Linked DNA regions of Medicago truncatula. The main gene of each other region encodes a partner of the protein of the gene in region 2 in a complex. Links are inferred from orthologs where the notes say so. Each region holds a gene or a part of one and is shown on either strand. Other genes may lie near its edges.

Region 1 (7,681 bases), on a different chromosome or scaffold from region 2:
TTAACAATTAACATGGTAGAGATGACAGCTAGTTAAAAGACTTAAATAATGGCCATATTCAGTGGTTGTAGCCAAATTATACTAGAGCATCAGTATATATACATAATAACAAAGTTACAGAAATTCTCTAAATATAAAGTATACAGTAGATAGATGGTAATGGCTAAACCGATGAATGGCAAAATTGAATTGTTGCTAGGAAACTAATGTCACCACAACCAATATTATGCTGGGAGATCATAGTGTTATGAATGTCGAAACTATTCAAAACACAGATATACATAAGCTTTTCAAGTTCACTGCTTTTCAAATAAAGATACACATTTTCATACTTACTACATAAACCAAGAACATATAAAAAAAAAAAAATCCTATTTCAGACTCCTTGAATTATAAAAATACCATACAAATTTTATGCTTAAAAGTATAAAACCAAATCCGACAAAATTCAGAAAATATAAATTTTCAGATCAGTTAACATGTAGTAACTAACAGTGCAGCTGCAGTAGAAGCGATAGCTAGTTAAAAAAGATTTCAATGATGACCATATTCAGAGGCCACAGTCAAATCATGAACATAAATTGTAGTATATGAAGTACAGACTCAAACACGGACATGACACGGTGATGTTGACACCGATAATAATTTTAAAAAATGACATAAATCAATGTAATCATATGTTTTGGTGTCAGACACGATACATATCCGACACCGTGACACGCCTAATCCGAGGAGTATATGTGCTTCATGTATCACCAATCCAAGATAAAATGCATAAGGCAGCTGACAAATCATATGCAAATTGTAGTTTACTTGGAATCACCAATAATGAATAGCAAAAGTGACTTTGCTGGTAGGAAAGGAAACTAATGTCACCACAATCAATATTTTACCAGGAGATGGAGTTATGATTGTAGAAATCATCTAAACACATTATACATAAGCTTTTCAAGTTCACGTCTTTTGAAATAAAAAACAAATGTCCCTACTTACTACATAAACCTAGAACATATAAAAAGTCTTTCCTAATTAAGACCCTTTGAATTGTAATATATTCATACGAATTTTATGCTTAAAAATGCAAACCCAAATTCGTCAGAATTCAGAAAATATAAATTCTCATATCAGTAGTTAACATGTAACTAAGAGAGCAGTAGAAGTGATAAAAAAAAGGGCAACCCGGTGCACTAGAGCAGTAGAAGTGATAGCTAGCTAACAAATACTTCGACCATATTCAGTGGCTATAACCAAATCATGCACATAAATTGTAGTGTCACCTTTCTAAAGATAAAATACATATCGAAATGGGAATAGAAAATGTTTTTACAAAGCAAACGAGCCGAAGTTTTCAACTTCCATAAGCATTTTATCTTAGATGGCGACACTGCAATTTTCGTGCATGATTTGGCTATAGAAAATACAAAATCCAAGGATTGCAATTTTTTTTCTTTCTCCAGCAACTGATTTTACAAACAAACCCCATATTCAATGAGAAGAATTTAGACAAAGGTTATATTAAGATTTCTTTACAAACACATACTTAACGGAAAATTGAAAGAAAACAAAAAAACTAAACAATAAAGCCATGCACATTGATATATTGGTAAGAGAAACAAAATAAGTCAAATTCGTATTTGTTTGCAAGTGATAGAACCCTTAAGGGGGTAGTATCGTTAAGTGTTTGAAACAATGTGATGACGGAAGAAAAAAAAAAGATACCAAATATTGCTGAGAGGGATAAAAAAAACTAACCGAGTGAAGAAGTGCAGCAAGAAACTCGAGGAGGGAGATCGTGGCTGCAAAGATATTCAAACATGGGGATCCGTAAGCTTTTCAAATAAAGATACACATTGTCCTACTAACTACATAAACCAAGAACGTATTCAGACCCTTTGAATTATAAAGTAATCATACAAATTTTATGCCTGAAATGCGAAACCAGATTCGACAAAATTCAGAAAATATAAATTCCCAGATCATTTAACATGTAGTAACTAGCAGTGCAGTAGTAGTGGTAGCTAGGTTAAAAAAGAAAACCGTCTGTTTAGATCGACTTATTTGAGCTTATCTACTGACATAAGTTTTGTGAGACTGTTTGGGAGAACTTATGACATTGTTCATAAGCTGTTTTGTGTTTTCAGCTTACTTCCATAAGTTGTCTCAGATAGCTTATGAAAACAGCTTACAGCTTATACGAAAATAAATTAACTTTATTTTATCTTTAGTCATATCAATAAGCACTTATCATGATGCTCTTACTATAGACGGTAAATAAGCTGTTTATCCAAACAAGGACTTAAAACAATGACCATATTCAGTGGTTGTAGCCACATCATGAACATAAATTGTAGTATCACCAATACACGATAAAATGCATGAGGCAGCTGAAAACTCATGCAAAAAGTTAAGAAAAACCTATGGATTACAGTGTTTTTTTCTCCAGAAACTGATTTTACACACAAACCCCATACTCAATGGGGAAGAAGTTAGACAAAGGTTAAATTTTAAGATTTTTATACAAACACATAGTTAACAGAAAATTTAAAGAAAACAAGAGAAAGCCATGCACATTAATATATTGATAAGAGAAACAAAGCAAGTGAAATTCGGGTATAGTGATAGAACCCTAAAAGTGAAGTATCGTTAAGCATGCAAAACAGAGAAAAAGTGAAACAATGTGATACGCAAAACAGAAAATTATCAACTACTGTTGAGAGGAATCAGAAAACTGGAGTCTCAGTATATATACATAATTACGAAGGCACATAAACTTCTTAAATACAAAGTATACATTAGATGCTAATAATTAAACCAACGAATGAACAGAGCAATTTTGTTGGTAGGAAACTAATGCCACCACAATCAATATTTTGACTTGAAATAAATTTGATAGAGTATAATTACAGATGAAAAGGAGAGGATGAAGATGGTGGAGCAATGTAACGACCGCCGGAGACACACTGAAGGAGGGAGGAGTCGGCGGCTAGGGTTTGTTTGAGAATGAGAGAGTTTTCCAGATTTCTTTGGTCAAGAGAGAGAAAATTAACTTTGAAATAAATATGGTGTGTGTGGAATAAAGTTAAATGACAAAAAATAAAATAAAAAGAAAATTATAAAAAAATACACTAGGTTTGTACGAGATAGAAGAGAGTTGCTGTTTACACATATGATAGGGCTGAAAAACACATGTAAAAGACGAAAATGCCTCTGCGGCAGTTACCTACCGAAGTTTGGAACCGGCTGTAGTTAACTGCCGAACTACGGCAGTTAACTGCCGACGAAAAAAAAAAACCTCGGCACTTTACTGCCGAGGAACTCATAATTATTTTTTTTTCCTTTTTCATTTTGTTTAATTGGTATGGGCATGGGATAGCTTTCGGACTTATATTTAACTTTGATGTATGAAAATTCTGACAGATCCATCACTTTGCAAATAAAAATGCTGAGGCTTAGTGGCATCTACAAGAATATTTTGAAAAATTTTAATGTCAAGTTGATTGAAGGCCGTGGAAAGGTGGGATGATTCTTTGGATACATTTCCATGTACTAAATAGCTTTGTAATTTTAAAAAAGAAAAAATATCAAATTTTTATTGTGCTGATATTGCTTTTGTAATCTACAGATTGTAGATCCTTGTTTTAAAAAAAAAAAAAAAAAATTGATGAATTCCTCGGCAGTAAAGTGCCACTAAAATGCCGAGGTTTTTTATTATTATTTTTTTTTAACTTTTTTCGTCGGCAGTTAACTGCCGAAGGAACTTCGGTAGTTAACTGCAGCCGGTTCCAAACTTCGGTAATTAACTGCCGCAGGGGTAAAAATGTCATTTACTCGTGTGGCACAGTCTTATGTAATGTGGGAACAGCAATTCTCGAGATAGAAAGAGGTAAAGGGGTATAGACTTTTTTTATTGCAAAATTAGTGTAACATAATAAAAATATAAATAAATAAATTCTTTAAAAAATATATAAAAAATAATAATAATAATATTAATTTCTTTATCAAATAATAAAAAAATAGTAGTAGTTTATTTAACCTCTAAAAATATAATTTAATAAATGTTATTTTACACACACACACACACACACACATATATATATATATATATATCCAACGACGTGTTTTTTTACAAGATCTAAAGACGTGTTGTTACATTAATTAATGAATATTAAAATTTAATTTTTTTTATATTCATAAAAACATAAGGTAAATATATTTCATTGTTACATAAAAATAACGGTAAAACATTGATCGTTTGATACGTACAACATACCAAAGAGAGTAGTAGAAGAGGAGTGATGTGTATAGATTTGAAGTGAGGCAGTAAGAGACGATGTATAAATAGTTTAAAAGACAAGTTTTAAAAAAGATTGATAAAATATATTATACAAGGGTCAACTCATCACTTCAGAATTTTAAAATAATTGTTGTAAACGAGACAAGTTGTCACTTCGCAAAATTTTTAAAAATTATTATAAACAAGACATGCTGATATAAATTTTAAAATAAGTATTGAACATATTTTGGTAGTGGTCGGAGTTTGAACCCCAGACCTTGGATATATTATGCATTATCCAAACCAATTGAGCTAAGCTCACGAGGACATAAGTATTGAACATATGATTTGTCATCACTGATATATATTATAAAATAATTATTATACACGAGACAAGGGATACACTAATATATATTATTAAACATTATTCTCATTCCTTCAAAAAAATATTATTCTCCTTTTTATTCAAACCATAACGTAAGTGAAAAACTAACTTAAAAAAATAATAGAATTATACACATCATTTGTTATCATTGAATACAAATTCAAAATAATTATAACACAAAGAGACAAGTTTTAGCCGATATGAATTTTAAGATATTTATTAACCATGTGACATGTCATCACTGATATATATATATATATATAAAAAGATAATCCCCGTGAGCTTAGCTCAGTTGGTAGGGATATTGCATATTATATGCAGGGGCCGGGGTTCGAACCCCGGACACCCCACTTCTCCACAAATAAGTTGTGTGAGCTATAGCCACTAGGCTACTTGACCAAAAAAAAAGAAAAGAGAAAGAGAGCTTCAATAGTATGCATTTCGTTTGGAAAAAGAAGGCTGGTCGGAGTGGTTAGTCGCCAGAAATAGAGTGGCAGCTGCTAGGGTTTCTAATGCGGGTGGAGAACACTTGAATGTGAGAGAGAGAATGAGAAGCTGAAATGAATATTTGGTTTATGATTTTCTTTATTCTAGTGTTATAATTTGGGCTATTGGCTATTAATGGGTCGAAATTTAAAGAAGCTCGTCCTATTTTCTTTTAACTCATTTAAAAACAAAACTTTTTTATCTCAATATTTTTTTTGAAAGTTCCTTTTAAAATTTTGACAAAAAAATAAATAAAAATTCCCTTTCAAATATATGGTATACGGGAGAGAGAGAAACTGTTATCTTCTCTTTCAAAATTAATACCACTCAATTAATTTTTATTATATATTTAACTATTTAAAAATATTAAAATTATAAAAAATAATATATTTAACTATTTAAATTTCAAAATTATTTTTCTCAAAAAAAAAATAATAATACTAAAACTATGGTTATACATGTGACTATTCACCAATATTTTTGCTCATGTTAGTTATTGATAAAAAATTTAAAACTATGGTCATACATGTGACTATTCACCAATAATATAATTTTAAAATGATTATTATACATTGGACAAGTCGTCAGTCTCACAAATTTTTAAAACAAATATTATACATAGAAGAAGTTGTCATTGTTAAAAATTTAAAATAATTATTATATAATGGACAAGTCGACACAAATAAAAATATAGAAATAATTATCATCACCGTTAAACACATACACGAGATTGTATTGATTAGATGTGCAAAATAAATACTAAGCTACATATTATAAAATAATTATTATACATGAGCCAGGTTGTTTTTGATAAAATAAAATAAAATAGTTATAACACAAAAGACAAATCGACGTTGATATAAATTTTAAAAATCTTTATTTCACACTTGATAAGTGTTCAATGTTCAAATTTAATAATTATTTGACACAGGTCAAATCGACACTGATAAATTTTTTAGCATAATTGTTATAGACGATATAAGTTTTTTTTTAAGGATTATAGACAATGTCACTGTTGAAAATTTAAAAATTTATTATTATACACATGAGATGTTGTCAATAACATAAAATTAAAATAATTATAACGTACAATACAAGTCAACAATTATACAAATTTTAAACTAACTATTCTATATAGGACAAGTCGTCAGGGATACAAATTTTTAAATAAATATTATACATAGGTAGAATTGTCCATGGTAAAAATTAAAAATAATTATTATGCACAGTACAAGCCGTAATATATATAGTCAAAATGTCATTGATATGTGAGACGTGTGAGGATTTCGGAAAGTGAATAATAGAAAGAGAGTGATAATGTGTATAGAGTTGAAGTGTGGTAGACTCTGTTTGGTAAAAATAGCGGATAGCTGATAAACTAGCTGATAGCTTATAGCTTTTAGTTGATAAGCTAACTGAAGTGTTTTGTAAAAATAGCGGTTCAACTAGCTGATAAATGTAAAATGACATAAAGGGTATTCTTAATTCATAATAAAAATTATATCATTAATTTAAGTATTTGTAATTTTATAAACTAACTTTTCTTTAAAAAAATACTTTAAATTTATTAATTTAATATATCCTATGTATTATAAATTAAATTAAATTTTATTCACTAAAATTTTATCTTATATTTATTATCATTTAAGTGTTTCCACTTTATAAAAAAAAATAACATTTACCTCAAAAACAAAAAAAAGGTAGCACTAATAGAGTAATACTAATAACAGAGAATAAAGAAAATAACACTTACCTCAAAAAAAAAAAAAAAGTAACACTAATAGAATAATAGTATTTTGTTTCGTAAAAAAAAAACGAAGGTATATATATTTTCAAAAAAAAAAAAAAAAAAAAAAAAACCTGCTGATATATATACAAAAATTGGAATAAAGGGGTAGTAGTCTTTATTACTTAGCTTATTATAGAAATTATAATGGATAAAAATACAATTTAAATGAAATAATAAGGGTAAAATTGGAAGAAAAAGTGAGAAGCTATAAGCTATAAGCTCAAACGCTACTTGGAATAGCTTCTGAAAAATAGCTTATAAGCTCGTGAAATAAGCTATAAGCTCATGGTGAAAAAGTGTTACCAAACAGAGCTTTTTTTGTCAAACGAGCTTATAAGCTATAAGTTAAAAGCTAAAAGCTCTTTTTTGGGGTTAACCAAACAGACTCGTAGTAGTGCGTGTGGTGTGGCGGAAATTTTAAAAACTATCATAAAAAGAAATTTACAATTAATTAATAAATGTACAAAATAAGTTGTCGTTGACTAACTAACTTTTATACACATAACCAATTGTTATTTATAAAAGAATGGTCTTGCTAAAACGTTCATGCTATTTATAATATCACCTCACTTCAAATCTATAATGATATTGAACCCTCATAAACTAATATGCACGGGATAAATGAACATTGACTAAACTTTCAGAAAATATAAAATAAAATACACGGGATAAATTATCATTCACTAAACTAACCTTGATTTACAGAATAAGTTGTCCTTTATAAAAACTGTTCATGCTAAAACATTTA
Region 2 (7,349 bases):
TCAAATCGCATTATAAATGAAAATATCTTTAGACCCTTTCAATGTTTTCTTCATCTAAAATGAAATGTGTGACATATAGTGTTGCATCAACATGATGAAGCTTCCTAATATATCTAGTAAACACTAAAACAAAACTGCAAAAGATATTGATGAATAAGCCTCTGGTCTGAACTTGTGGTTACAGGGGAAAAAATTAAAGTCATCTTATAGATAATGTGCGATTGTGCGCTAAAACAGCTAAATACAGTTCTCATACGTGATTAAAATGCATAAGCTCAAGTCATTTCATGTATCCATTTTACCTTTCCAGAATAGAGGGCTTACATATATTCCTAGTTCCTTAACATATTATGCATAGTTTACAAGAACAACTAAAACAATAAAAAAGGTTAATTATTTTCTGCACCAAAATATTTAAACTTAGAATAAAAAATTAAACATTCATGAAAGGGCTAACTTACTTGTATGATCTCAACTTTAAATGGACAGTTTTCCAATTCTTTACGAGCATATGAAGTCATCTTACTTTGCATAACAAGTATCAGCCTACTCAACCTTTCTTTGTCCACAATCTGGCTTTGTATAACAATCAAGTTGCTTTTTCTGATATCATCCGTTCCTGGGAAAACAACTTGTACCTGCAAAGCAGAATTTCCTGAGCCACAGTACAGCAATCACAAAAGTGAATGTATAAAGCACCCCTCATTCTACGGCATTAGGTAACAGTGGATTAAAAACATACAAACAGTTAAATCATTCGGCCGTAGAACAAAAAATGAAACTGATCTTGAACAAATGAGGGGGAATCTTATGTCACCCAAGATTGATGAAAGGAATCACAACTCACATAACCGTTCAAAGATAATTTATCCTTACATAACAGTTCGAAGATAATTCATTCTCACATAACAGTTCTGTTATTATTAAACCGTTGAGGGTCACATTGGATAGTGATACAACCTGAATTGAAATTGCCATCATTTCTCTCCGTGTATGTTTGATTTGTGAGGTTGAGTTGAGTTAAACTCGACCCAAATTCTAAGCCGGTATCAGAGTCTATTCTAGATTTGTTGGACCAAAAGTTATTGATCCTAATTTGGCCTAAATATTGTTATAAGTGGTGAACATCCCTCGTCTTACAACCTAGTTTTGTGGAGTTGTCTCAACTCAAATTCTAAAGTTAAAAATGACTATCTATATATAAAGCAAAAACATTCCCAAAATTTCACCACAGTTAAGGTTAGTTTTGGGTCTTGGATGGAGTGAATCAGTACATACTGTTAGTATGCACTCTCATTCAATCGTTTGCTAGCATGTGAAAACATTTTGCGAAAAATATTCTTGTTGTTTTGTATTTTTCATCAATTATTAGCCAAAAACAGAGAATGACTTTTGCAGCAAAATGGAGAGAAATCACATATGAAAATATGGTGACTTTTTCCTTATGAATAATCAATTGGAAGAGCAATAACATAAAAACTATTGCTCTTTAGACCTTCAAAATTACTATAGTATTCATGTTCAGTATGATACAAAACAAAACCAATTAAAATAATGAAACCAACCAGAAGCATATTAAGATTGTGAGAGTATCCAAATACATAACGATCCATGTAAGTTTGAGAGCAACAAAAATAGGCATCACTCATATGCAAAAAAAGACATGCTCTGCCACTGAGACCTTCATATGTTTCAAAAAGTACCTCAAAAACCTCCTTATTCCCATTAAAATACCAATACAGCGCCATACAGAAACAATGTTATAAAATTGAATCATGTAAAAACATTCATTTTCTAAAAGATATTCAAAATCAAATCAAAATTAAACAAATACAAAAAAAAAACCTTCCATCTTCTCCATTTCAATCAACTCATCCATCCAAACAACAAATCACATATGAAGGATTCAAAATCACACTTGTCAGATTCAAAATCAATTCCAAAAACTAAATTTCAGTTTCGAATCAGAATCACTTTTGGATAAATGAATTCTACTAAAAAACACTAAGGGCCTGTTTGTTAAATCTAATAAAATATTTATTTTGTCATTCAATAATTTATGTTTTTTTAAGTGTCATGAACATAGCTCAGTTGACAATGAAATATGCATGACTGGTTCGAGCTCGAGATTACACACGATGTTAAACGTGAAATTATGGTCACTATTTACAAAAATTTTTTTAGAGATTTTTTAAGAAATAAAAAAGTAATTCTTGGTGATGGTCAAGGTTTAAACCCTGACCTTGCATATATTATACGCATATTTTCATTTTTAAAATAATCATATGTAAAAAAAGATTTTGAAGACAAGCTACTCACTATAGCTTTCCATTTTGCAATTTTTAGATTATTTTTTCCTTTCAAAAGCCCATAAAAAAAATTAAAAAAAAAACTTTAACCAAAATATCAAAGTTTTTAGGGGTTGTATAGCTCAACTAAAAACTAATTTAACAACTAATTACATTTGTCTTTAAAAAAATCATATGAAAGTTTTAAAGTAATGGTTTTTAATGAAAAAACATGCCCTAATGTAACACTAATTTCGCCTCACTATACAAAAAAATCAATTACACATTCAACATCACATAATAATGGAAACGAAATGCAACAAAACATTGAAATAGTTTCGTGAATAAACCTGAGAAAATCAGTAACATTGAATAATACCTTGATGGAGGGGTTAGAGCGAAGAGAAACAGAAACACCAAGGGTATGAGGTTTAGGAAATTCACCAAAACGTGAACGAAACTCAGAAAGAGAAAGAGTGAGATCAGATTCAGAGACATTGTAGCCTCTATCATGAAGCATATCCATCAGAGTCTTTCTGCATTCGAAGTAACGAATGGTTTCAATGTTGCTTTCTTCATTGCATATACGAACCAAACATTCGCTTCTTGTTTCGTTTCCGTTTTCAATCATCGCCATTTTCACCAAAACAAAAAAAAAATGTTGCAGTTTTTTTTTTGTTGAGTAGGAAACTTAGTAGAGAAGGAGTATATGTAACACTAATTTCCGTTACGATCTTTTTTGTCGTTTTCACAAAATATTTAAAAAATAAAAAAGTGTAATAATGACTTTGGTCTATTGATGTCAATGGGTATTCGGTACTAGTAACATGATATCCGTCCCGCCTCTTTGGATAAATATGATAACCGTGTCTGCTCCTATATATATATATATGTGCTGGTGTGGATAATTCATATGCATTTAGATACCCACGAATATTCGCGGGTACTTATGAATTTTTTATTTTGTTTTGTGCAATGAAAATACTTTTTTAATTACCAATAAACTTCGACTTTTAAACATCCATATATAACATGTTTTATTCAAATTATATAATTCATACCATAATTCAAAAAGCGACGGTTGGAATAAAATTCAAATATCTAAAATCTTCATGAAATAAAAGCATAGAAACCTCCAAATAAATCGACATAACAATGATATTTGAAATAAAATCTTATAACATTCACTAACAATGTCATTCACCGCTTTTGTCAATATATATAGACACGCACAGATGGATATTTTAGTAATTTACTTAATTTATTAACGGGTACAAATACATGCGGACACGGGTATCATCAAATCCGTGTTCGTGTCCATAAAGTAACGGGTAGTTAAATACTCGTTTATTATATCTGCTGGTTCACGTTTAGCTACCCGCCTCGTGCCCATTACGGATTTTAACCACAAATACCCGCGTGCATGGATTTTTTCGCCAACCCTACTTTGGTCTTTGAGTGTGTGTAGAGAATTGAGTCAGGTATAATTGATTCTGACGGAATTGATTTTGTCACAATTGAGTTTAGTAGAATTGATTTATGTTTGGATATAATAATGTAGATTTGATTAAACAAAATGAATGTTGTTTGAATAATTTTGATCAAAATTACTTTTGAATGTAAGATTACTATAATGGATACGGTAAGAAAAAAGGTTGAAAGAAAGAGATGACAATTAAAGAGGACAATGAATAAAAGTAATGGTGGTTTAATGTAGAATTAATTTTAGCTAACTCAAAAGCTATGAATCCTAACCTCAAAAGAGAATTGTTTTTGAAGGTGATAATTGATTTTCAAAAGTTGAACCAAACAATGCGTTGATTTGTGTGTGTTGTACTATTACTCGCATATTCATATACTCATTATGTGACATATTTTCAACTAGGTCTTTGACTTCTTCGTACTTGGTCTTCATATGGCGTCTAGCTGAGGCATCCAAAAACATTGTGTTTGGCCCTCGAGTCCTTGTGTGAAAATATGTATTTGATTGTGTTCATCAATTACATGATATAAGCTCCTTTTGTGTAGTAACTTAAAGTGCTCATATGCATCGTTGAGAGATTAATTCCTATAATCATTGGACATAATCATAGGAACATTGAAGCTTCATGGGTCTTCAAGCTTTTTGTGGGACCTGTATTTCAATAATATCACAACAATTTTTTGTTATAGAGACAAATTCTTCATCTCATTGTTTGGTTGTCGCCTTCTTAATGTCTTGAAGAAAATTAACACAACACGGACTTTGCTTAAACATTTCCTTGATTAGTGTCTTTGTTATAAATGTTGCTAAGGCTTTAATGACCTTTTGAAAATTAGCATCCTCATCTTTTGAGGTGTCATCTTCTTCAAGTTTCTCTTTTCCTTTTATCGATTTCACCTCCATCATCGGTATCTCATTGTCATAAGAATCTATGAATATTACCTAGTTTTTTTCTCTTCTTTTTCTACTATCCTAAGATTATTTTTCTATTTCTCTCATGCAGGGCTGGACCTGTAACGCCCACTTTCGTTTAATCGTTTATTTAATCGAGTTTAGGTGATTATATTATAATTATATAATATATGCATGATTTTGGTATGTTTTGATGATTTATGATGATTTGATTGATGACGTGATAAGTTATGAGTTTTGGAGGATTTGATTATGATATGAGATTTATTTTATTGTTAAATAGAATAAAGATTTGAAGATAATATAAAATATTTAGTTGAGGGCTGTTTTGATATTTTAGATAGTTTTGGGGGAGAAAGTGAGATAAGATAAGTTATTAGAAAGAGGTATAAATAGGAGAAGACCTAATTTTTTAGAAACTCATTGTACGTGAAAACTTTTGAAAAGGAAGAAAAAGCCAAGAGAAGAGGAACCTAGAGTGAGGGCTGCGATTTCTTCATACAAGGTAAGGGTGAGACTAATAATTCAATAATGTTATTTACTGTAATTCTGATGATTAGTTGACAAAGTTAGGATTGATTTAGAGAAGTTTTGGAATTAGGTCAAAACCCTAAAAATTGATGATCAAACGGTAAAACTTGTTAGATTGATGAAAGAACCGTCCTTTAACCTTAGAATATGTTTAGGAAGAATTCTGGAATCAAAACCACGCCTTGAACCATGTTGTGTGATGAATTTTTGAGAAAAACCCTAGTCTGCCCGTGCTTCTGTTCATCGCTCGCCACGGCGAGTGATGATCCTCGCCTCGCGAGTGATGAACTTCATCGCTCGCCACGCGAGCCCCTTCCCTTCGCCTCGCGAGTTGTTTGGCGCAACTCGCCATGGCGAGCAACCCTTCCTCGCCTCGCGAGCTTAGGCAGAGTGCATGTCATATTTCGTGTTTCGACCTTTTTAGTTGAATCTTGTATGCCTTTGAGTACCTGAACATACCTAGTATTGATTAGGAATGAATGTAGGATCAGAGGGAGCCCAGAACAACCTTAGTTTGGGAGATGAGTGTTACTCGCCATGGCGAGTAAGTACTCTCGCCTCGCGAGTACAACTAGGATGAACTTGTTTATGTGTTTATGCGATCTGTGTCGCACTTGTTGATCAAGAGTGAACCCCTAACTGGTAGTGAGACCTAGTGATGTCGTTTAATGCAGACTGTAGAGTTGTTTAAGTTATATTAATATCAATTGAATATGAACTATTATATTGTATATTCATGCAAGATAAGAAGATGTGTTAATGATACAAGTTATGTGCTTTGATATAATGATATCATCTTGTTATGTGACTTGTTTATGCTGCTTTCGTTATTTAACTAAGTGCATATGTATATGATGAAGTTTAGCTCCAAATTATTGGATGCATGTTGATAAGTTGATTACGATGTTTTGTTCATATGTGTCCATGCATAGCATATCATTGAGCTTAGTCCTCACAACGAATATTAGGAGCTTTGTCCTCCGCACGTTTTATAGGAGCTTTGTCCTCCGCACGATTAAAGTATATTAATACTTATGATGACGATTGGTACCACATGCATATAAGGAGTCTAGGAGCATTGTCACATTGTCATGATTAAGATGCCTTGTTGATAATGAATGAATATGTGATTACGTGATAAGTGTTTATTGATTATGTTACGTTGTTCGTAATGAATTGGATATATGATTACGTGATAACTGTTTAGCCTTTATGCAAAGCTAATAATGGAATGATTATGATGTTAATTTATGATTCGCAATTACATTGATTAATGTTATTTTATTATGAAATCTCACCCCTTCTGCTTGAAAATGTTGCCCTTCGTATGGGTAACTTGCAGGTGATCGTGCTTAGTGTGCAGTTGCTTCTGTGAGTGGTCTTGCCTCACTGTGTCGTCTAGGTCGCTCTGATACGTAACGGGATGGGGTTTTATGCTATAACATGCTACATTCTCTTACGTGAACTGCCATGAATATTTACTGTTTTGATTAACTCTATTGAGATACTTGTTGGGCCTGCGTGCCAAAACGTTTCATGAATTATGGTTAAGATTCTCCGCTGCAAATGTTTAAGATATTGGTTAAATTATTATTTAACTGTTGGATTACGTTATATGTGATATCCCGTTGTTTGATGTTTACTCTGATAAATGTTATGTTTTTAAAGAAATTTTAAATATTGGGAAAACGGGGTGTTACAATTGGTATCAGAGCAGGTCGGTCCGTCCGGTCAATTAGAGAGTCGTGTCGAGTCTTAGTAATATTTATATTACTATCTTATGTTGTTGTTGCTACTTTTGTAGAATCTCGGAAATGGCTGGAAGAAATGATGCTGCGTTAGCTGCTGCTCTACAAGCTGTTGCCCAAGCTGTGGGACAACAACCTAACGTGAATGCCGGTGCGAATGCTGAAGCTAGGATGTTGGAGACGTTCATGAAGAAGAACCCTCCGACTTTCAAAGGACGTTATGACCCTGATGGAGCCCAGACGTGGCTTAAGGAGATTGAGAGGATTTTTCGGGTTATGCAGTGCACGGAGGATCAGAAAGTGCGGTTTGGTACTCATCAGCTAGCCGAGGAAGCTGATGACTGGTGGGTTGCTCTTCTGCCTACCCTTGGGCAGGAGGGAGCTGTT

Evidence for each region.
Region 1: DNA-directed RNA polymerases IV and V subunit 5B (region 2) and DNA-directed RNA polymerase V subunit 7 share a complex: the UniProt entries of both Arabidopsis thaliana proteins name them as parts of the RNA polymerase V complex. The link is inferred for Medicago truncatula from reciprocal best matches to the Arabidopsis thaliana genes RPB5E and NRPE7.

The regions. Positions count from the first base shown.
Region 1 is NC_053042.1:37,142,233-37,149,913, forward strand, and holds the start of DNA-directed RNA polymerase V subunit 7, read right to left. Parts: upstream 3,067-7,681; 5' UTR 2,905-3,066; intron 1,797-2,904; 5' UTR 1,753-1,796; intron 1-1,752. UniProt on the Arabidopsis thaliana protein: DNA-dependent RNA polymerase catalyzes the transcription of DNA into RNA using the four ribonucleoside triphosphates as substrates.
Region 2 is NC_053044.1:5,364,217-5,371,565, forward strand, and holds the start of DNA-directed RNA polymerases IV and V subunit 5B, read right to left. Parts: upstream 3,005-7,349; 5' UTR 2,926-3,004; coding exon 2,668-2,925; intron 639-2,667; coding exon 462-638; intron 1-461. UniProt on the Arabidopsis thaliana protein: DNA-dependent RNA polymerase catalyzes the transcription of DNA into RNA using the four ribonucleoside triphosphates as substrates.